4 separate regions of the Mus musculus genome follow, and regions 2, 3 and 4 are each reported to be linked to region 1. Evidence: microRNA targets listed by miRTarBase, many of them from high-throughput screens and not tested one by one. Region 1 holds a microRNA gene; each other region holds the end of a gene's coding sequence.

What was found. The annotated mature microRNA mmu-miR-1971 reads GUAAAGGCUGGGCUGAGA and lies in region 1 at 2,517-2,534, opposite strand. An mRNA with a match to its seed (bases 2 to 7 or 8) in the 3' UTR can be bound and repressed. Matches are read on the target gene's strand: a 7mer-m8 pairs with bases 2 to 8, a 7mer-A1 pairs with bases 2 to 7 and ends in A, and an 8mer does both.
Region 2: the mRNA of Hpgds is a reported target of mmu-miR-1971. Seed matches in the 3' UTR shown: 8mer at 3,635-3,642 and 7mer-m8 at 2,996-3,002.
Region 3: miRTarBase lists Asb3 as a target of mmu-miR-1971. Seed matches in the 3' UTR shown: 7mer-A1 at 642-648 and 7mer-A1 at 1,131-1,137.
Region 4: the mRNA of Fndc7 is a reported target of mmu-miR-1971. Seed matches in the 3' UTR shown: 8mer at 1,194-1,201, 7mer-A1 at 2,760-2,766 and 7mer-A1 at 2,914-2,920.

What each region holds. Positions count from the first base shown.
Region 1 is chr14:78,188,935-78,194,296 of GRCm38, forward strand. Mir1971 (microRNA 1971) reads right to left here and starts at 2,544; the gene lies at 2,439-2,544.
Region 2 is chr6:65,115,379-65,120,740 of GRCm38, forward strand. Hpgds (hematopoietic prostaglandin D synthase) reads right to left here. Exons shown (of 6, transcript NM_019455.4): 6 at 1,915-4,710. The coding sequence ends at 4,546. It overlaps Smarcad1 (SWI/SNF-related, matrix-associated actin-dependent regulator of chromatin, subfamily a, containing DEAD/H box 1), which reads left to right. Exons shown (of 24, transcript NM_001355250.1): 24 at 1-671. Among named protein-coding and RNA genes, the nearest start is that of Hpgds, 27 kb to the right of the region's middle.
Region 3 is chr11:31,100,609-31,105,970 of GRCm38, forward strand. Asb3 (ankyrin repeat and SOCS box-containing 3) reads left to right here. Exons shown (of 10, transcript NM_023906.3): 10 at 429-2,096. The coding sequence ends at 634. Among named protein-coding and RNA genes, the nearest start is that of Gm40822, 67 kb to the right of the region's middle.
Region 4 is chr3:108,851,536-108,856,897 of GRCm38, reverse strand. It overlaps Fndc7 (fibronectin type III domain containing 7), which reads left to right. Exons shown (of 13, transcript NM_177091.5): 12 at 488-549; 13 at 633-3,220. The coding sequence ends at 531. Among named protein-coding and RNA genes, the nearest start is that of Stxbp3, 14 kb to the right of the region's middle.

The DNA.
Region 1 (5,362 bases):
AGCACCATCACCCCATGGATGGACGAAAGCGATTGCCTCTCACCCCCACTTTTATCACCATCACCCGCCCTCCACGCTATTGAAACCTAAGTCAGTGTTATTCTTCTGAAACACCTCTAGTTTTTTTGCTCAATTAAAAACCAAACTCTCTAGAATGAATGGCAAGACCTTTTGATTCTGCCATCATTTCCTGCTTCTCCTGCTCTCACATCACTGGTTAGGTCTTCTGGGACACACCGGGTATATACCTGCCCCAGGGCCTTTGCATCTGTTCTTCTCTCTACCTAGAACATTTTCCTCCTGGATAGGACACAGATTACCCCTTCACCTTCAGGTCCAAACTTCAACACGATCTTTCCAGTGGATCTGAGATCTTTAGAAACTGGCTTCATTGTACTGTGCTAATGAGCAGTGCTCCAAGTGACCTCTTAACACACACAGCATCATTACATAGTGAATTGGCCCAGTTTCCCCAGGAAGTTTCTACCTGTCTTGTTCACTTGGGGACCAAGGCCAGTGGTGGCTCCCTTTATTATATCCTAGCAACCATCATTCCTTGGACAGGTGATGAGTTCCTTGTCTTACATAGGTAATTAAACTAAGCATGTCCACTCAGGAAAACCCCATATTGAATCTATTTGTTTTATTTCTTGTAATGTGCTTAAGTTAAAGAGACTGAGAAAAATAATTCTACTGGGTACCTAACAGGAGGGAAATTAGAACAGGTGAGAGCAGGATACATGTGTGTGTGTCAGATTTGTCAAAAACGTGTTGCATAACAAACACCCAGAGATGCTCAAGTGGCATGCAAGATGGGCAGCAGTTATTGGTTTTGCTTCTGGAACCTAGTTTACCCCCCATACCCACAGGATCTCTATCTTCAGATTCAATCAACCATAAGTCAGGCATTATTCAAAGGAGTTAGAGTTTACACTGCTCAGGGACACACTTATTGACATTATCATGCCCCTCCCTAGAGTGCAGGCTAACAGATATTTAGAGTGTACATTCACTGCAAGCTAGAGACAATTTAAACTGTATATGAAGCTGTGCGGAGGTTATATGCAAATCCTACGCATTGTTCTAGGAGGTTGAGGCTCCCTGAATTTTGGTACCTGGAACTGATTTTTCCATCAGGTAGCCAGATGTTCATGAAGCTCTACTGCCCCTGGCTATGCTGCTCACATGTACAGGAGACAGCTTGAGATCATCTGGAAAGGCAGATGGACCAACCTCTGTCCAAAGTTTGCTTTGAATGTCAACACTAATGATTCTCTGTACATCAAGAAGGCATGAAAGAGACAGGATCTTGCATGTCTCTGCATTGCCATCGGGTCAGCTGTGTTTGTTATGGTGGAGGCAGAGAAACAAACAGCAGTAAATGGATACACACAAGAACTCATTAGTCTTGGGCTTGAAACTGCCTGAAAATGATGTACCAAAGCTTCAAATTCTGAGCCAAAGGTCACAATGTTTATATTGGGCCATATAAGTACTGAGTACTGGGCTGGAGAGATGGCTTGGTGGTTAAGAGCACTGACTGCTCTTCCAGAGGTCCTGAGTTTAATTCCCAGGAACCACATGGTGGCTCACAGCCATCTGTAATGGGCATCCAATATCACCTTCTGATGTGTCTGAAGTCAGTGACAGTATATGCACATATATGAAATAAATAAATCTTTTAAAATCTTTTTATATGATGACTCTAATTATTGAAAGGAACAAACAGGGCTCAAAGCATAGCTCAGTCAGTAAAGGGTTTTCTGAAATCTCAATACCCAGAATTCAAGTAAAGAATAGCCAAGTTAGCAATACCACTTCTAATTCCAGCACTGACTGAATGGAGACAAATTCCTGAGGCTCGCAGGCCAGATAGACAGGGTAGTCTATTTGACAAGTTCTAGGCTAGAAGATGACTCTGTCTCAAAAAATGCAAAAGGTGTTTAGCACCTTAGGAACACCCATGGTGGGTCTTTGGCCTCTGCATGTGAACATGCACATTTATGCACAAAATAAATGAATAAGTAAATAAATAAAATAACATTGACAACATTGCTTTTTCATTAGCTCACCACTGGCTGCAGGTATTTGAATACCTTGTGGTAAACATTATGGAAGAGCTAGACATAGTGGTGCACACCTTTAATCCAAGCACTCTGGAGGCAGAAGCAAGCAGATCTCTAAGTTCAATACCGACCTGGTCTACCTAGTGAGTTCCAACAGTCAGAGCTACATAGTGAGACCCTGTCTTGAAACAAACACACAAACAAACAAACACACAAAAAATCATGGAAGCCTATTATTTCCAGCTGAGTTCCTGCACCAGATCCCAACAAAACAGAAAACAAACAAACAGACAGACGAACAAACAAAAAGCAAAAACAAAATGAGAGCTCTTCTCTTAAGTGCTATGTGAGCAAATTGAAATTTTAGGAAGTAGATAGACTGAAAAACAGACAAGTTGTTCCTGGAAGCAGAAGCTGCCTATCTACTGGGTCCATGGAACAAAGATGTCCTCTCAGCCCAGCCTTTACCAAATGATGCCCTGTACATCAAGAGCATGTACATCTAACCTGAAGTGACATGATGCCAACCTCTTGGTTTATCTCCCATGTCCTATTTCTTTGTAACCCCTCTTCTGCCATTGTGTAGCAGGAGTTTTTCATTCTGTTTGGTAGAATGGGGGCTGCCTCAGATCCATGAATTACAAATAAAAACCAATTAGATTTATAACTAAATGTTTTATAATTCTGTCTTTTGATACCAGCTGAAAGTCCCTTATACAATAATGGGTTTATTATGTCACATAATAAGTATGCTCTGTCAGTTATTTTGAATCTAAAGAATGCTTAGCCTTTGGGCATAATTTTCTGTAATTCTCATGCCTTTCTCTCATAGTTACAACCCAACTATTGGAGTTTTAGAAACCATGCTTTATAAAACAGCATGCAAGGATGGAGAGGATCAAATGGGACTTTGTCACGTTTATAGAATGAGGGCTTTTTTGTTTTTCTAGAAGTTTTATTAGGAAGATTTCCCCTTGGTCCTCATTGGCCAGGATTGCAGTCTGTTCCATCCTTAAGCTAACTACAAAGAGAGAATAGTTGACACATTGGCTTAACTGGATCAACATGCATTGCCTAAGCTGGGTATAAGTCCCTGAGGTATCCTAATTCGTGAACATGACTTGAATATGCCTGAAAAGAAATGTATAAAATAGGGAGTAGCTGCTGAACAGACCATAGAAACTGCCCTTCTTGGTTTCTCTGCATCCTTATTCTTTCCCACATAGACAACATACTCAGCTTGTCCTCCAAGGATATAATCCAAAGTCTGTATACAAGTGGATGGGTTCATTTGTGTGTGAGTGTGTGTGTATGTATACGTGTGTATGTGTGTATGAGTACATGTGTGTGTACACATGTGTATGTTTGTGTGTTGCATTGTGTGTGTTCACATGTATATGTATGTGGTATTAGTATTGGTGGGGAATTCCACAGTGACAGGGGATAAATGACTTTCCAGTGAGAGAGTGAGAGTGAAGACCAGCAGGCAAAGAGCAAAGTTTCCTTTCTCCATGTCCTTTATCTGGACTGCCACCAGAAGGTGCCACCTACACTTACATTGGGTCTTCATGCTTCGAGTCACCTGACTTAACAGCTAATACCCACATATAAGTGAATACACATATAAGTGAATACTTTTTCTGAGTCTGGGATACTTCACTCAGGTTGATTTATTTTCTATTTTCATCTATTTGCCTGCAAATTCCATGGTGTAATTTTTTTTTAAATGGCTGAGTAATATAAGCTGAACCACATATTTTTATCCACTCTTCTGTTGAGGAACATCTAGGTTGTTTCCAGTTTCTAGCTATTATGTATAGAGCAGCAATGAACATTGTTGAACGAGTGTCTTTGTGATAGGATGAAGCATTCTGTAGGTAAATGCCCAAGAGTGGTACAGCTGAATCTTGAGGTAGACTGATTCCCGTCTTCCACAGGAACTACCAACCAGATTTCTATAGTGGCTGTACAAGTTTGCACTCCCACCAGCAATGGAGGAGTGTTCTCTTACTCCACATGCTCTCCAGAATGGCTGTCACTTGTTTTATTGATCTTAGCCATTCTGGCAAGTGTTAGATGGAATCTCAAAGTAGTTTTGATTTGCATTTCCCTGATGGCAAAAGACGTTGAGGATTTCTTTAAGGGTCTCTCGGTCATTTGAACTTCCTCTGTTGAGAAATCCATGTTTAGGTCTGTACCCCACTTTTAATTGGGTTATTTGTTTTCTTAATATCCATCTGATTTTCTTAATTTGAGTTTTAACATTCTTCTCAGGCTTTTCTTCTCCATAAAAACTTCCTCGTGTTAAAAAGAGATGTACATGTCTTTACCCGGCTATTTAAACACCTGTGTTTTGTGCAATGTCTTCTCTTCGTGAAGAAGTCAGCACAGAGCCACCATGAACGCTTTACCTTGTGTGATCTCCCTTCTGTGGCTGCTGTAGAGAGCTTTTAAGGGCACTGCTTTCAATGAACTTCTAATTATCCACCTTGTGTCTGTACGTCTGCTCCTCATTTCTCAGTCTCCTTCCTGCCTTTACTGAACCATTTCCCTGAGCAATATTTTCATATGGGAAGAACATTGGCAGATTCCTTGACTATATGAGAATACTCTTGTTTTTATGTTTACTAGCTACTGTATCATAAAGCTTTATTGTATCTTCCTTAAATTCAGTATTTCTAATTTTTCTCACTTTTCCATTGTTATTTCTATTTGTATTTAGTGCTGCTATAATTTGAGGAAGAGGGAAGGGGAGGATGGAAAACGCTATGCTCAGACTTCATTCTTTAGTTAGAGGTCTGTTGCGGATAGCCTGGGGCTTATTATATTTTATGTTAATTCCTTTCTCCAGTGCGGGGCTGCAAATAAGGAATGAGTCGGCACTCATTTCCTGTAAACCTGCTTCCCACCTTAATTTGTAAAATAAAGGAGAGCTGATGATTGGACGGAGAAAGAGGGGAAGGTGGAGCTGAAGGTTTTGGGAGAAAGGGAGAGAGAGATAGGAGGATGGAGGAGGAGGTAGAAGGCAAGTAGAGCAGAAGCTCATGGCCTGGAGAAACCACAAGTTCTAAGGGGTCTCATAGATGTGGAAGATGGTAGTGTAGTGGCAGATCTGCCCAATGTAGGCACACAACACAGCATGTAATCATATTAATTGAGTTGTGTTTTCATTGCCTGGGCTTTTTTTGAGTTGGAGATTTACCACAGCAGAGGTCAGCTTCCTAACTTTCTTGAAAACTATGTATTTCAGGTCAGCTTTTCAGTCTTGTACCTTTATTCCATCCTTAGCCTCTGAT
Region 2 (5,362 bases), not on the chromosome of region 1:
GCCATTGTTCAATTCCAGTTCAGTGTGGGTGACAAAGTGAAATTTAGAAGTAAAATTGTCTATTTGGTATTTCAGTCTTTATTAACTTTTCATTTAAATTTTGCCTGTCAGTCTATATTGCTGTTTTTATTATACATCAGATTCTTTGTATAACTTGTGAGTTTTATGTGCTTTGTTTTATAATGTAAATATCATTATAAATAAACTTATTTATAAATGAGAGATTTGTTAATTATTGTAGCTCATACTTTTCAAGACACCCCCAGTGCTGAGGTGCTAGGTAAACACTTAGATGGGTGACACAATCCTACAGTGCTATTTTTTTTTCAGGTATCTGAGACTCTGAACTCCTGACTCAGTAGATTTAATATTGAAGATATATGACTGTATCAAATTTATCTCCCCACTACGGGGCTGCCAGGAATTTGCAGGTGTTAATGCTACCTCCTTGTGATCACAGTACCCAGGTCGCTTAGTCAAGTTGTTGGAAATTGTACCTTTTAAACCCACAGTGAATTTCCCTTAACTTTTCTGTGTGAAATGTGTCTCCCACAGTAGGCTCATTGGTTGTGGTGTTGTTATATCTGAATTTTTTCTAATGAAATGTAGTTGGATTCTCCCTGTAATATTTTATTATGTCTTGGGTTTAATAAAAATATTTGTGATCATTAAGTTGTATTTCACACCCTTTGTAATGGTTTTTAGCCCTCGTTCTCCTTCCCCAGAGAAGTATGTAATATTGAACAGAAACAGGACCATCTTATGTTTAAGATATTGCTTGGCAATGGATAGGGATTTGGTACATAAAATGAATCCTCAATTGTCCTTTCATTGGGCCAGTGTCATTAAACATCACAGTCCATTGGTAGGCTTTTATTTTCTCCTTTATAAAACAGGATTTCTTGGCATAGACCTAGCTGTCTTGGAACTCTGTTGACTAGGCTGGTCTCTGCCTTCCAAGTGCTGGGATTAAAGATGTCCACCACCCATCATGAAATAGGTTTTATTTTTTTAGTATAAGTCATATATGTGTAATAAGACACCTTATGTGTCTTGTCTTGGACAGGTGACTCGCCGATAGGAGTTCCAATAGAGTCAAGGTGTGGGTGGATCAGAAGATTGGGTTTCTATTTGTGCAGCCTGTAAAGAAGGGATCTACCTTCTTCAGTGGCTGTCTGACTTAACATTGTGGCTATGTTAAATACTGCCCTATAGAGCATGCTGATGTTACACTGATCATAGAAATATGTAATACTATTTTGAGTTTCCATTTTTCCCATAGGAATTGTGTTTATTACTTTTCCTAAATTCTGTTTCCATTAAAGATACTCTTTTAGCCAGGCAGTGAAGGTACATGCCTTTAATCCCAGCACTTGGGAGGCAGAGGCAGGCGGATTTCTGAGTTCGAGGCCAGCCTAGCAACAAAGTGAGTTCCAGGACAGCCAGGGCTATACAGGGAAACCCTGTCTTGAAAAACCAAATAAAAAACAAAACAAAACAAAAAGGATAATCTTTTATGGAAGGTAATACAGAGGGAAGTACCTGCGCATCAGGGTCATCTCCACCTTCATTAAAAGCATTGTTTGTATGTTTCCCTAAAGACTTTTTCCTATTGATTGTTTTAATCACACAATGTCTACCCATGCAACGAGATTCTTTTTTATTTTAACAGCCACCAATGTTAAAATTTTATTTAAAAGATCAAGTTCATGCATTTTATGTTTAACATACAAAATTTTGTCCTCTGTTCCCCCCCCCCCCAGCCCTGTTAAATCAGAGAAAATGTTCTAAAAAAAGAAGAGATGTTAAATAAGAGCACACCTATCTGGACATGTATTTCTTTCTCTCTCCCTACAATCTCCTTTTTTATTTTTATTTTTTGCCTTTTAGCAATATGTTCTTCTGAATCTCACATAAAGCACAAGATCATCTTTATTAGTATTTCCATACATTTTGCAACATACCACACACACTATTAACATTAATGAAGCTAACATACAAAGCAAAGTGTGCATTCCATCAATATAGTTTAAAATAGGGATCCAGGTTCGGCAGCATGGAAACGAGATTACAGTGAGTGCAGTGCCAGCTTGGGCCTGGGCCACATTGTGCATCCCAGTCAGCCTTCAGATACCAAGTGAGAAAACAGTCCAAAACAGTCCTGGGGAGTAATATTGCTAATTAGGAGACCCTTTATAAACAAAAATAAAATGGTTGCATTTAAAAAAAAAAAATAAAATGAGTATAAGTGCAAATGCCACAGTGCTTAAGGGGAGGGCAGAGGACAGACAGTAGGTGAAAGTCAGTGTTTTGCTTCCATTATGTAGGTGCCAGAGACTGATCTTAGGCCTTCTGGGTTTGGCGCCAAATGCCTTTATCCATGGAGCCAGCTCACTGGCCTGTTGTTTAGAAGATTGTGTAGAGAGGTGCTTTCCACTCTGTTTCTCAGCCACCATGAGTAAGTAAACAGTCATTTTGGCACATACTGCTCCACAGTTCCAACCCAGTGGAGCCAATGAGTGGAGCCACACAAATCTTCCCTCCCTGTAAGCTGTTGTGTATCTATTACACTTTGTCAGCAAATAAAAACTAATTATCGCAGACTGTTTGTTTTTTTCAGTTCACAGCAACACTAGGAGCAGTCCCATTTCCTGCTGTCCCCACACCTACAGTCTCCTCTGTTGCTAACATGTGCTACATACGCTACAGTTTGCATGTGTTCTGCATTCTGAGTAAGTTTATAAATGTAAAGACGTGTACTCATTCTCTCTGACAGCATCCCACAGAACAGACTGCCCGGACTGCCCATCTGCCTCCCGTCTTGCCCATGTCACCACTGGCTTGGGCAGCTTCTCATCCTCTTCTTTTGCATAGTTGGAGCCTTTTTGTGTTGGCTCCTTTCACTTAGCTGTGTGTGGCACTGGCTCACCCATGTACTGTTCGTGGCTTACTAGCCCTGATGTGTACGCACCAAGGATTGTTCTGCATTTCCTGCTAAAGGCCATCTTTGAGGTTTTTAAAGTTTTAGCAGCTGTATGTGAAGCAGCATCCAAGATATATGTTCAAGCTTAGTGTGGACATGCTCATTGAGTAAATACACAATGTGAGACTGACGGGCCCCACAGAAGGGGACATTTTAATTTTTGAGAAACTAGTTCTCTCAGTGCCATCTTTTGCATTCCTGTCCCCAGGTCCCATAACTTCAGTGTTTCTCCAGTGTTTATTTGGTCTTGAGATTTTACTGTTCTAGTCAGCACTGCTATTATAATTCCCTAGTGCCACTGTATTGCTGCCTCCTCACAGGCTCATGGCCATCTGTGTATCTTCCAGCTAACATTTCAATCTGGGTATTTATTTTTTTTTACTATTGAATTTTCACAGTTCTTTTATATTTTAAACAAATCTTTACCAGGTGAATGTTCTGCACACATGTTCTCCCAGTCTTCTTAGTCTACTGTTTTTTGTTTGTTTGTTTGTTTGTTTTTTAAGATTTCTTTATTGTTTTGGTTTTCTATTGTTTTGGTTTTCCGAGATGGTTTCTCTGTGTAGCTCTGGCTGTCCTGGAACTCAGTTTGTAGACCAGGCTGGCCTCGAACTCAGAAATCCGCCTGCCTCTGCTTCCCAAGTGCTGGGATTAAAGGCGCGCGCCACCACCGCTCGGCTAGATTTCTTTATTGTATGTATGTGAGTACACTGTCGTTCTCTTCAGATACACCAGAAGATCAGATCCCATTACAGATAGTTGTGAACCACCATGTGGTTTGCTGGGAATTGAACTCAGAACCTCTGGAAGAGCAGTCAGTGCTAATTGCTGAGCCATCTCTCCAGCCTGCTTTTGTTTTTCTCATGTGAAAGATTATTGTAACCCTCTGTCTCTTGTCTCTGGGGTATCGAACTTTCTATGTCACAGCTCCTTTCCTTGTCTCTACAGCCTTCTGAATTGCAACAATGCTGAACTCAGTAACTTTTTGTTACTCCATTTTGTGGAATTTCAATTAAACTTCAACATCACTTTTCTTGGCTGTCCTTTAATCTTGATGAGTTTCTTCTTTATTACCCATTTTGTGACATGTCAGACAGATGTGTATTTTTGTGAAGTAGCTTATACACTTTGGTGTATACCTGAATAACATGCAGTAGTTAGTGATCATTATAATGACCATTAGTTTCTGTGTAGGAATTTGCTGATTGAAGAGCTAGCTGCAAAATCTGTATTTCATAGTTAACTATGCTTACTCATAGTTAAGATACTGTGTTGACTGATACCCTAGCCAGGAAACTAGTGTTGTTTAAAGCTTCCATACATCTTGATATGCACAACTACATATATTGTGAACTATTTCCCTGCAATTATAAAGTGTAAAGTTTTGAAAAAATAAAAGATTGGAAACTAAGTGCCTGCAGATAAAGACAAAACTGCAACACCCCTTGAGTTGCTATACACAGCAAGCAGAGTACTACAAAGTTACAGTCCTATTGGTGAGAAGTATGTGGATCCTCTAGCCAGCTAATGGAGTTCTCATCTGATGATGGGTCCTGATTCATCTAGAGTTTTGTCTGTGGCCTCTTTAGTATCCAGGCAGAAATGGCAGGGATAGCTTGGACTTTGTTCCGTAATGACACCAGTTTGGGGTAGATATCCAACAAGCCAGGCTTTAAAACCAAAAGTGTGGTGCTGCAGATATCCCAGTAGAAGTCTGCCCAGGTTACCTGCTTAAAGGAAAACAAAGACTTGGCTTTTGAATATGTTAAAACAAAAAGAAAAAGAAAAAAGCATTCCAAAAGTGAACTTACTTTCTTACTCTCAGGGAACACTTCCTTTCCATTTCAAAACAATTCTTTGTTGGCACAAAGCTGAACATGTGCATGATAAAATTGGAAGCCGACAGGCATCACAGTGTCCAAGGAACATCGAAATGACTACTGTCTGCAACTAAGTGGAGATGCCTGAGACAGGCGGCTGGCAGCTGATGGTCCAGTGCTACACTTTTTTGAAGCCCTGTCCACTCTCTACCAGCCTGACCTAACAGATTTCCATCTGTTCCAAAAGCCCTCTGTAGGAAGAGGTGGGCTCCTCCCAGGTGTGTACATGTCCTGTGATGGGGAATGGCATGCTCCTTTTTGTATGTCACCATTGATGATTCCACACTAGTCCTGTAAATGTGCTGTTTGTGAGGGGATCTGTGATTATTTCATTATGTTGTGTACCTTGTACCTTTGCGTTTTAAGGTACAAAGGAATAAATAGTGCGTAGGTTATCCCTTCCAGGTTTATAGTTCCAAATAAAAGAATCTGTGTAAGATACATTATCTTTGAATCACATCAAGACAAATAACTATAAAGCGATCTGGTCCTTAATAGA
Region 3 (5,362 bases), not on the chromosome of region 1:
GAAAAAGTACATACACGTTTCATGTAGTCATGCTGAACCAGTAGTCTTCTTTCAAAATGAGCTAAGCAACGTAGTGTTTCTTTTTTATTGTATAAAATGGGCTGGATGCTTATCTTAATGTATTGCTTGTGTGTATGTGTATGTTTTGTAAGTATTCATGATAGTGTGTACATGTTGGGGGCCACAGGAGGATGTTAGTATATCACTTGCCTTGATACAGGGTCTCTCATTGGATCTGGAGGTAGCCAGCAAGCTACACTGATGCTCCTGTTTTTGTCTGGGTAAGAGGTGCTGGCCGCCACTGTGGCTTTTCCATTGTTTCTGAAGTTCAAACTCAGGTCGTCATGCTTTCACAACAAGAGCTATTACTTTTCCAACCATTTATTCAGTCCACTGTTAGTGAAAATTATGTTTGTTTGTTTCTCCAGCCTCTGTTCCAAGCCTAACCCATCTTTGTCGTTTGGAAATTCGGGCCAGTCTAAAAGCAGAGCACCTTCACTCTGACATTTTCATCCATCAGTTGCCACTTCCCAGAAGTCTGCAGAACTATTTGCTCTATGAAGAGGTTTTAAGAATGAATGAGATTCTAGAACCAGCAGCTAATCAGGATGGAGAAACCAGCAAGGCCACCTGACACAGGTCCTTTAATTCTGTTTAGTCACAAAAGACGGCTTGTGTGACTGTTTGGATTTGGTGATCAAATGTCCATGTTTACAGTTGCTTTTCCCAGTTTGTGTCTTTCCCAATATTGTGAACCTTATCCATCTTGCCTTACTCAGTTTTATTTCTAGTGCACTTTGTTGTGTATTATTTGTTTACCTGACCATTTTCTACTTTATTCTGCTAATAAACTGTAATTCTGATGTGGTGCTGGATGTGACTTCTTTCTACTTAGGATTCATGTTCACCTGTGCTAGAATCTAAGGATAGAATCCATAAATTTCCCCAGAAGAATTTATAACATCTGTCCTTTTGAATTATATTTCATTATTATTTTACTTAGGGATGAATATCTTCAATGTTTATTAAGAGGAAACTTTCCTCCATGTTATAATCTGTTCTCAGTCCTTAATTCAAACATTTTTGTGAGGTGTTGATACTCTTGCATTTTCACATGTAAAATCAGGAGTCCTTTAAAAAAAAAAAAAAGAACATAAAAAGTCAGTCATATTGTTGATCTCTCGCCCCCTAGGTTCATTCTTTCTTTATACTTTTGGCAAAAGATACCTGATTTTTAGTTTGCAAAGACAAGAACACATCTAAACTCAAAGTCATACACAGCATAAACTATTTTATGTCATCTTTAGAAGTATTTTACTGCACTTAGAATATTAATAAAGAAACCTGAAAAGGACATTCATACAGCACTATCTATAGGGAAAGAATGCACACTTTATTAATTTAATGCTAAATATAATAGCCAGGCTTCATTCAGCTCCAGAATAAGAGAGCAGCTTTGTTCCTGTTAGTCACCAATAGTCAATTATATCACATCAATATAATGTTTTTCTTAATGTCTGGATGTATTTTCAGATCGTGGATGAAATATGGACCTCAGAATACTACTGCCTTGTGAATTTTTACAACTATTTTATTTAAACCTCGAGTCAAGAAAAATCAAACATGATCAAATCAGTTATTTAGGGAATTGGAAACTAGCCTTAAGAAGGTACTAGAGTGTTGCTGTCAATATAGACAGAACAGGCTGGTTTCTAAAGGAGGCAAGCCTTCATCTCTTGCCAGCAACCTGAGACTGGGTAGATCAGCTGGTCGCATTTTGATAAGCCCTTGAAAGAAGCATAATGTCTTACTGATAACTGATTGGGAAGACAAGCTCATCTTTACATTCAAGTCTTGTTTTGTGAGGATATAAAGTTAGGTATTGAAAAGTAGGCAGAAATTCTGATAGTTCTGGTTAATAAAGATATTCCAAACTTTTAAAATTTTATTTTTAAAATAATGTGACTTTTATTTTTCAAACTCTGTATCAGGTTTTGTTTTTGCTTATGGCCAAGTGTATATAGAGTGCTTTAAAAGAGTTTACCTTTTAATGTATTTTGTTCATGTCCAAATGTATTATAAAACCCTGATTTCCCATAAGTTATTATTGTGGTTTTCTTTTTGAAGCTCTGAAAGTCAATACAGATAGCCCCTGGCTGATGAGTTTTTGACTTTATAGTAGTGGAAAGGTGACCAGCATCTCATAGAAACTGCACTTTGAAGCTTGATCGTCTCCTAAGGCAGCAATACATAGTATGAGATTCTCTTGGATTCTGATGATGCTGAGCAGTGATAATGAGTTGTGACACCTGGCCAGCCATGTGACTGGAGGGTGACTGTAGAGGGCATTAGTACTCATAGTTAAGTACTGGAGAAACCAAGAACATTAAACACATTGGCTTATATCTTCAGTGGGTGGATGTGTATACCTGTTTTTCCAGGCACATGTAATTGTGTCAGGAGTTACATGTGGGTAAAACTGATACCAGGAGGTCCATTACTTAGGTCTTCATGGGACTTGAAGCAGTTATTTGAAAACTCCTGCATTCTGATGAGAGCCAGTGGGGGCCTCAGGCATCTCAGGAACACATTCCCTTTGGGAGGAGGCAGTGTTTCTTAGTTAAATATGGTCATATTTGACAACTTGCACACACTAGCATAGTAATTTTATAATCATGCTATTTCCATTTTTCTTGCCTTTTAAAAAGAAATTTCTAAACAAACAACTACAAGGAAAACTTAGTAACTCTGACATTACAGGTTTGGTTTTTTGTTTTGTTTTGTTTTTTTGGTTTGTTTTCTCTCTTTTGTTCTCACCTACAAGGCCCAATTGCTGGGTTTTTGTTTTCAATCTATCATTTTTACTGCTTTATTAAATGACAAATGATTGTTGGTGCATAATGTCTTGCAGCAAATAAACAATTATTTTGTCCAATGAAATCCTACCATTTTAATTAGATGGAACTGTGCATGCTTTTTTTTTTCTGTAACATATGGTACAGCCTCAACTGAATTAACATCAGTGGTTCACTATGAGGTCAGCATATGTTTATATTTTTAATGAAGAATTACTTTGAATAAGTTGTGTGTAGATTTTAAATGATATTGTGGAGTTGCTTTGGTGAATAATGTGTTAATTGAAGGACATTTATTAACTGGTTACTATGCTAATCTTTTAACAAATCCTCCTGGAAATAAGGGTAATGATATTTAAGTATTTGATATGAAAAGAAAATATAGGATATTAATAAATTAAAGGTGGAGGCAGGAGGATCATAAATTCGAGGCTATGCTCGAGTACATAGCCAGTTAGAGGCTAGCCTAGGATATGGATGAGTCCTCAAAAAATAATGTGTGTCTGTGTCTGTAAGAGAGAGAGAATCTTTTCACACACACATCCATACATACATACATACATACATACATACATACATACATACATACATACATACATACATACACTGACCTCCCCATACAGAAGAAAGAAAGGAAGATGTAACTCATCCTCCCGTCCAGGTCCATTAGTTTGTCTTTGAGGTTTTTATGGTTTCAATCTATGCAGAAAGTTAAGGAATTTAAAAATATGTATACTTAAAATTAACCAATTTCACATTTTTTTTCTTGGTCCATTCTTTTTTTTTTTTAAATCATTGCAGTGAAACCTTCAGCCAAGCTAAAGTCAAGTGCTTATAGACTTCTGAAGCAGTGAGAATGAGAGAAAGAAAGAAAAAAAACTGTGTCTGCTAATTCTTTGTCTAAGGTTACCCGAAGAAAGGGAAAAAACCCAGCCTCATATTTATATAAAGAATATGGAATTGTAGGTAATACCTGATGGACGTTCTCTAGCCATGTGGTCTCTGTCCAAGGTAACCACGCAACTGCATATTTTGTGCACCACTCCAGTATATGTGCATTTATGATGGCTTTTTCTTAATGGGGGGGGGGTGTTGAAATGGTCTTACTGTAGCTAATGCTGCTCTGGAACTATAGCTCTGGTTGGCCTGGAACTCACTCCACCTACATCCCCTGCAAGCTGGGATTACAGATGTGAGTCATGGCATCTGGGTTTATAAAGTAACTTAAATTGGTACAACTAGTAAATACTGGTGTGATTTCTTTGTGTCTTGGCTGATTTTTACTGCTCAGCATGAACTGATGAAACAGAGCAGGTAGGAATTGCCATTCGTACACCAAGACCTCGAAGATATCTGCTTATGCCCCTTTTATCATCAAATGGTTTGTATATCTTCTTCACTACTTTCCTGTGTAGATAATAAAAATTTATCTGAAGTCATTATAAGGTACTAATTTACAATCTTTGTCTAACATAATGAAATCATGAAAGTTCAGCTGTCAATGGGTTTGAACTGAACAGTTGAAAAGAGAGGATATTTCAAACGTTATTGAGTTGTTAGATCAAATGAAAGGAGCCAAGAGATCAGTTCCCAACTCTAGCATTCTCATAAATATATACATCAGTTAGTAATGTGAGGTTTAAATTTTGTGTTTCTTACAAACTGTTACTTACTGTTAAGACAATAAAATACTCAAATCCTCATGGCATTTGGACAAGCATATAATGTACTTCCAGCACAAACTCTTACACTCTAATTCTCTCCTTTTCTTCCTGTTAGTCGCCTTGTACTCCTCAGTAGTTTTGTTCCTACATCATGTTACATACACAAACATGATTTTATGTATCTATATATAAAAGCTTAAAACTACAAATAAAAGAGAAAGTGATACTTATCTTTCTGAGAATAACTTGATTCCTTCAGCTTTTATCATAAAAATGTCTTCGGTCTCCATTCATAGTGTATCCAGCTTTTCACCTTGCCTCCACAGTTCTTTGGATGCTCTAGATGAGAGTGAGAAATTCCTGTTGAACTCAGTGTGGCCAAGCTGAGAATCTTTGTAGTAGTGTCTTCAACGCCAGCCTGCACAGTCATAGTTAACTGCCAATTTCCCCAGCCCTTGCTTAGTCCAGATAACGCTTTCTGTAGCTCTGGTGTGTGTGTGTGTGTGTGTGTGTGTGTGTGTGTGTGTGTGTGTGTGTCTGTGTGTCTGTGTGTCTGTGTGTCTGTGTGTCTGTGTGTGTCTGTGTGTGTAGTCAGAGAGACAGAAAGAGCGAGCGAGCACACAAGAGCATGTCCCTGTGGTTAGCATGGATCTCAGCTGGAGTAAGGTAGCACTGATTTATGACCATTCTTCTTGCTTTCCCTAATTCTCACTCAGAGACCTCATAGCCCTAGTTATTTTTCACTCATTGCCTCTCACAGGAATAAAATTTATTGTTTTTTATTCTGTCTTTCTCTGGGTTGCTTTGATGGAGCTCTTAGCTACCATCTTACCTTAAAGTTAC
Region 4 (5,362 bases), not on the chromosome of region 1:
TGCCCTGTGTGGTATCCTTCTCCTTTGGTACCCAGCCAGCTTCAGTGTCACCTGCTCATCCTGTGGAGCTTTGGAGACTTTCTTCCCCACGACATCTTTAGCAGTTGAAGGTTCATGTTCACCTTGTGCAAATGTCTGAATGAATGAAATAGTGGAGGTTTTTTTTTTTGGGGGGGGGAGTGGAGGGCACAGCAAGTTGGCCTGAGGGTAAAAGAAATATCCCTCATCCAATCAGTACTGTGAGCCCAGGGATATTTAGAGGATTCACTTCGTGAAGCAGGGGTTTAGTCACGCTGGTTTGTCAGAAACTTCTGGTCGCTTTGAACAGTTTGGTAGCTCACGCTCCTCTTTGCTTGCTGTGAAGTGCTATAAAAAAACAGCTTTCTGAATATTGACAGTAACAAATTTTCAGCACTTAAGCAATGTCTGAGTTTGTGACACAGCCTCTGTGTCCTCTTCCCTGTCCCTTTCTTCCCTGTCCCTTTAGTGATTTACAGAGGGAAGAGGAACGATACAGCGAGCCCCAGGTAAATACAGATACTCCACAAGGTGAGCAGAGAGCATTAATTCTTTCTGATTCCACAGCAAGATTTTGTCCTCTGTTTTGAAAATTCTCCTCACTTCCCTTCCAGGGTCCCTGTGTTGTTAGTGAGCAGCCATGGAAACTCGCTATTAGAACACAATGTACCGTAGGATAGGCAAAGCTCCTTTGCGCTTTAAAGGAGGAACTCAGACTGTTTGGAGAGGACAAGGTCAAGTGTGTCGTTGGCTGCAAAGAAGTTCAAGATGAGCTGTGGAGAGGAGGGGACTCCACAGAGGAAAGGCCCAGAAAGTCCCCTGGAAGGTTGCCAGACTGAGTCAGCACACTGTCACAGCCTGGATGCATAAAAGCCACGCTTAGCAGAAACTTGTTTGGGGGCTTCATATCCAGACACACCACAGAATGTCGCCTATCCCAAAGCCACGTAGCCCAGGCTGGCCTTGAAGTCTCAGTCCTTCTGCCTCAACCTCCCAACGTGTCGGGTTACGGGCATCCACCATTATGCTCCATCACAAACTTTAATACTTCCTGGCCAGGGGTCTCTCAAAAGCTTCCCTACAGCATCCTCTCCGCAGAAGTATGGAATTGCACACCCTCAGTCAAGCCATCCTCCAGAGGACAGCATTCGCCCCCAAGACAGGCCTTTGTTGAGGCCTTTAAGCTTGAGTCTAGAGCAGCTGCTGCTAGGGCAACTGTGTGGTAACAAACGCCTTCGGCCCAGGTTCCCGGGGAAGCTGAGCTGCCTGCAGACTTCACTGAGTCAGAGAGCGCCATGTGAGCAGACATCTGCCAGAGCCTTTGGGAAAGCAGAAGCGTAGGTCTGTGGCTGGAAAGACTGTCATCACGCTCTCGGAGTGAGCAAAGACGTCAGGCGGAGCAGCAGCCAAGGGCAAAGAGTCTCAGACTGTGACAGGCTGACATGCACACACAGCCTTTCAGGGTTCATGGATCTCGCAGTCTGTTCTCTATGCTCTGCGCACATTGTAATGGCTTCCTTCCGCGATCCGAGAGAAGAAAACGGTGGATATATAACATCAATCTGTTGTACCTAGAACAAATGTTTGTCTGTCTGATGCCAGAAAAGTAATTTTAAAATAGCATGAGTATGATTTGTGTCACGAGTTCTCAAAGGCATGGCTGTAGTGTGTGAAAGGGTGGCTCAGTGGTTAAGAGAACAGGCTGTTCTTGCAGAAGACTCGAGTTCCATTCCGAGCCCTCTCATGGCAGCTTATAAACATCTGTAACACTGGTTTGGGGTGAGGGTGGTGGCGGTGGGGGTGGGCCATACCCTCTGTCTTCTGGCCTCTGAGAGCATCAGGCACCAAATGGTGCACACGCAGGAAACTTAGACACGAGGCCAGCAAGGAAGAGAGCGCAAACTTCCTCTCCTGCATCTTCTTTCCATGTATGAGGGCACATGCCGGTAATCTCAACCCTCAGGAGTCTGAGGCAGGAGGATCATGAATTCAAGGCCAGCTTGGCACACATCCTGAAATGTCTCAACAAACAAATCAGGGATGCAAAAACGTTTCGCTGACAAAGAGATTTTATTACTATCAAGTATCCACTTTTAAAAAATTTATGTTTTATTTTACATAGATGAATGTGCTGCCAGAATGTATGTCTGTGCACCACATGGGTGCCTGTGGAGACCGGAAGAGGACATGAAATCCCTTGGGATGGGAGTTACAGGTGGTTATGAGCCGCCTTATAGGCACTGGGAACTGAGCTCAGGGTCTCTGCAAGAGCAGCAGGTGCTCTTAATCAATGAGCCATCTCTCCAGCCCCTGTTTATTTTTTATGGTTTCATACACATATACTTTGCATTCTGAACACTCACCCCTCCACACACACACACACATCTCTACTACCTCTGCCCGATCCCCCCCACCCTCCACCAATCTCGCTTGTGTTCCTGGATGTTTCGTTTAGTGTCCCAGAAAGATTTGCCAGGACCATCTGTGGGGTGTGATGGGCTCAGCAGAGGACACCCAAGTAAAGACCACATCCCTCCTCTCAGAGGATCGACTGATAGCCCATGCTTCAGAGGTAAAGGGTGGGGTCTCATAAGCCCCTGGATAAAGAGATCTTTCCCAGAGACAAGCCAGTTCTAAAAGTGGAGTTAAATGTCTCAAGTACACAAATGGAAGGGGGTTGAGTTTTGTTCACTTAAAAAAATTTTTTTTTGTTTTGTTTTTGCCAGTCAGAATAGTGCACACCTTTAATGCTAGCACTCAGGAGGCAAAGATAGGTGGATGTCTGAGTTTAAGGCTAGCCTGGTCTACCTAGGGAACTCCAGGCCCGAAAAAGCTAGCTAGTGAGACCCTGTCTCAAAAAAAAAAAATGTTTTTAGCTGGGTACAGAGATGTATACCTTTAATCCCAGCTCTTAGGAGGCAGAGTCAGGTGGATCTCCATGAGTTCGAGGCCAGCCTGGACTAGACAGTGAGTTACAGGACAGCCAGGGTTATAGAGAGACCTGTCTCAAAAACAAACAACAACCAATCTAGCCAGTAGTGCCGCAGACCTTTGATCCCAGCAATCAGGAGGCAGAGGCAGGCAGATCTCTGAAATCGAGGCTAGTCTAGTCTACAAAGCAAATTCTAGGACAAACAGGGCTATATAAAGAAACCTTGTCTTAAAAAAAATAAAATAAAATAAAAATAGAACAGAACAAAACAAAACAAAAAAATGTTTTTCATGTATTTAATTAATTTTTGTCAATGAACAACATAAGCCTCATTATGAAGAGCTCATATGTACATTATTACACTGACCTCATGTTCAGCCCTATTATCTTCCTTAGTCCCACTCCACAGCTCTCTTCTGGTTTCTGAATACCACAGAGGGAACAACTGTTACTCACATAGATTCCCAGCTGTCATTCTAGAGACATATATTAATTAGATATTTGGATCAGGCCTGGAAATGGCAGTTAGGGTGGTTGTTTTTTCATGATCACCAAAGGATTCTGACATGCAGAAGTTTGGAACTGCCTTGGTGGATTATTTTCTTGAAGTAAGATTTCAGTGATGAGAAGCTGAGATGATGGAGGCCCGTGGCCTGTGAAGAAAGCCTCATGAGCCCCACAGTGCTCTCGGGAGTTCCTTGTTTTGCTGGGGAAAGCCTAGTGGAAGAGACATGAAACCATATTCTGGGCTCACATCTGGGGTTGTGTCCATGTGAGACTGTGTGCTATATCAGCTGACAGTAAGGTACCTTCAGAATGGTACCTCAGAATTAGGGCTGACTAGAAGAAACAAGCAGCTTAGACCAAATGGAAGGCCAGCATCTCTGTTCTCAGAGATCTGTGCAAGAAAATGGCCATATCCACTTAGCTATGTGTCTAAGGCTAAGCTGCACTAGATAGATTTCCACAAAAGCCATGTGGTCCACCTTGGATGAGGACAAAATTAATGTATACTTACTGCATTTACTTAATATGTGTAATATTAAGCACAGGGCACACACTGCTAACAGCTTTCTTCATACTCATTTTGTAAGGGCCCATGATTTGGCGAAAAAATTACACCCCAGACTCAAATAGTATGTAAATGCAAAGAACGTTTTATTCTGCAGAAGTTCAGCATGCTGAGGTCTCCAAGATAGAGAGACAACCAAGTGAGCTTGCAGGCATGATTCAAAGCACATTAGGGGATTTTGGAGTAGGTGACTGTCGGTCTGTGTACCAGAGATCTCTGGGCTGGCCTGGTGGGAGGGTTCAAGCAAAGGGGAAAGGGCACAAGTTGGGAGCCGCAAGTGCTTCTGCCAACCCCCCTCCACACCCCACACCCCCCCCCTGCTGTTGCTGCTGCTGCTGCCCCAGCAGCAGCTGTTGCTCCAAAGCATTGCAGTGTTTGTGCTGAGCCAAGCAAAGCCAAGCTGAGTTGGCAGAGGGCTGGCCAGTGAGAGAGCTGAGTGCAGGGGAGCTTCTGCTGGCGAAAGCTTCCAGGAGAGCGTTCTCTTCCCAGGCAGTGTTACAGCTCTTGTGACAGATGCTCTCAGATGATGGAGTCATTCTCACACACCTTTATTCCTTCTGCATAGGATCTTATGTGCAGTTCTGGGGTGGGGTGGGTCTGACAGCAAGTGCTTCCTATTGGCTTGGCCAGAGATGCCTCATCTACATGAAGAAGGGCTTAGGGGTGCTGCCCCATGGGGTTGATGGCCACGATTCTCTGTATGGGGAGCTGTGACTACATGACAGGGGCCTGGTGCCCTTCAGGGTCCCCTGGGGCTTCAAGCCTTAGCTCAGCCTTGCCAGGCTTCCTCTCACACCTGCCCTAATTCCAGGGCCCCCAGTTGAAGCTCTCTTGTCTGCTTAACTATGCTATGCCAGTGCTGCGCTTCCTCTCTGGCCAGGGTTGTGTTTTTGCCTTCATTCCAATGTGTCATGTTCAAGGAATCAATGCAAACACTCTTCTTAACCTGTGTAGGAGAGCCAACTAGAGGAGACCTGAAGGAACAGCTCAGGGAGATTATGAATCCTACAAGAGAAGGAAGAATTATAGTCTTGGAGCCAGATAGCTCCAGGTCCTAGTTCATCCTGAGATCTTACATGACGTACTTAACTTCCCTCAGCCTTTTTTTTTTTTCTTCTCACTTGTAAACCAGCAATAAAGATTGTCATCTTGCTGGGATTTATACGGTTTTAGATATGCATTCAAGGGCTTCAGAGATAACTCCGTGGGTAAAGCCTTTGCTGAGTTAGCAGAAGGACCTGAGTTTGGATGAAAAGCTGGGTAAACATTGGGAATGGTGGTGTGTCCTTCTTATCTGAGTCCTGAGGTAATGGGAACAGGAGGATTGCTGTGGCTTTCTG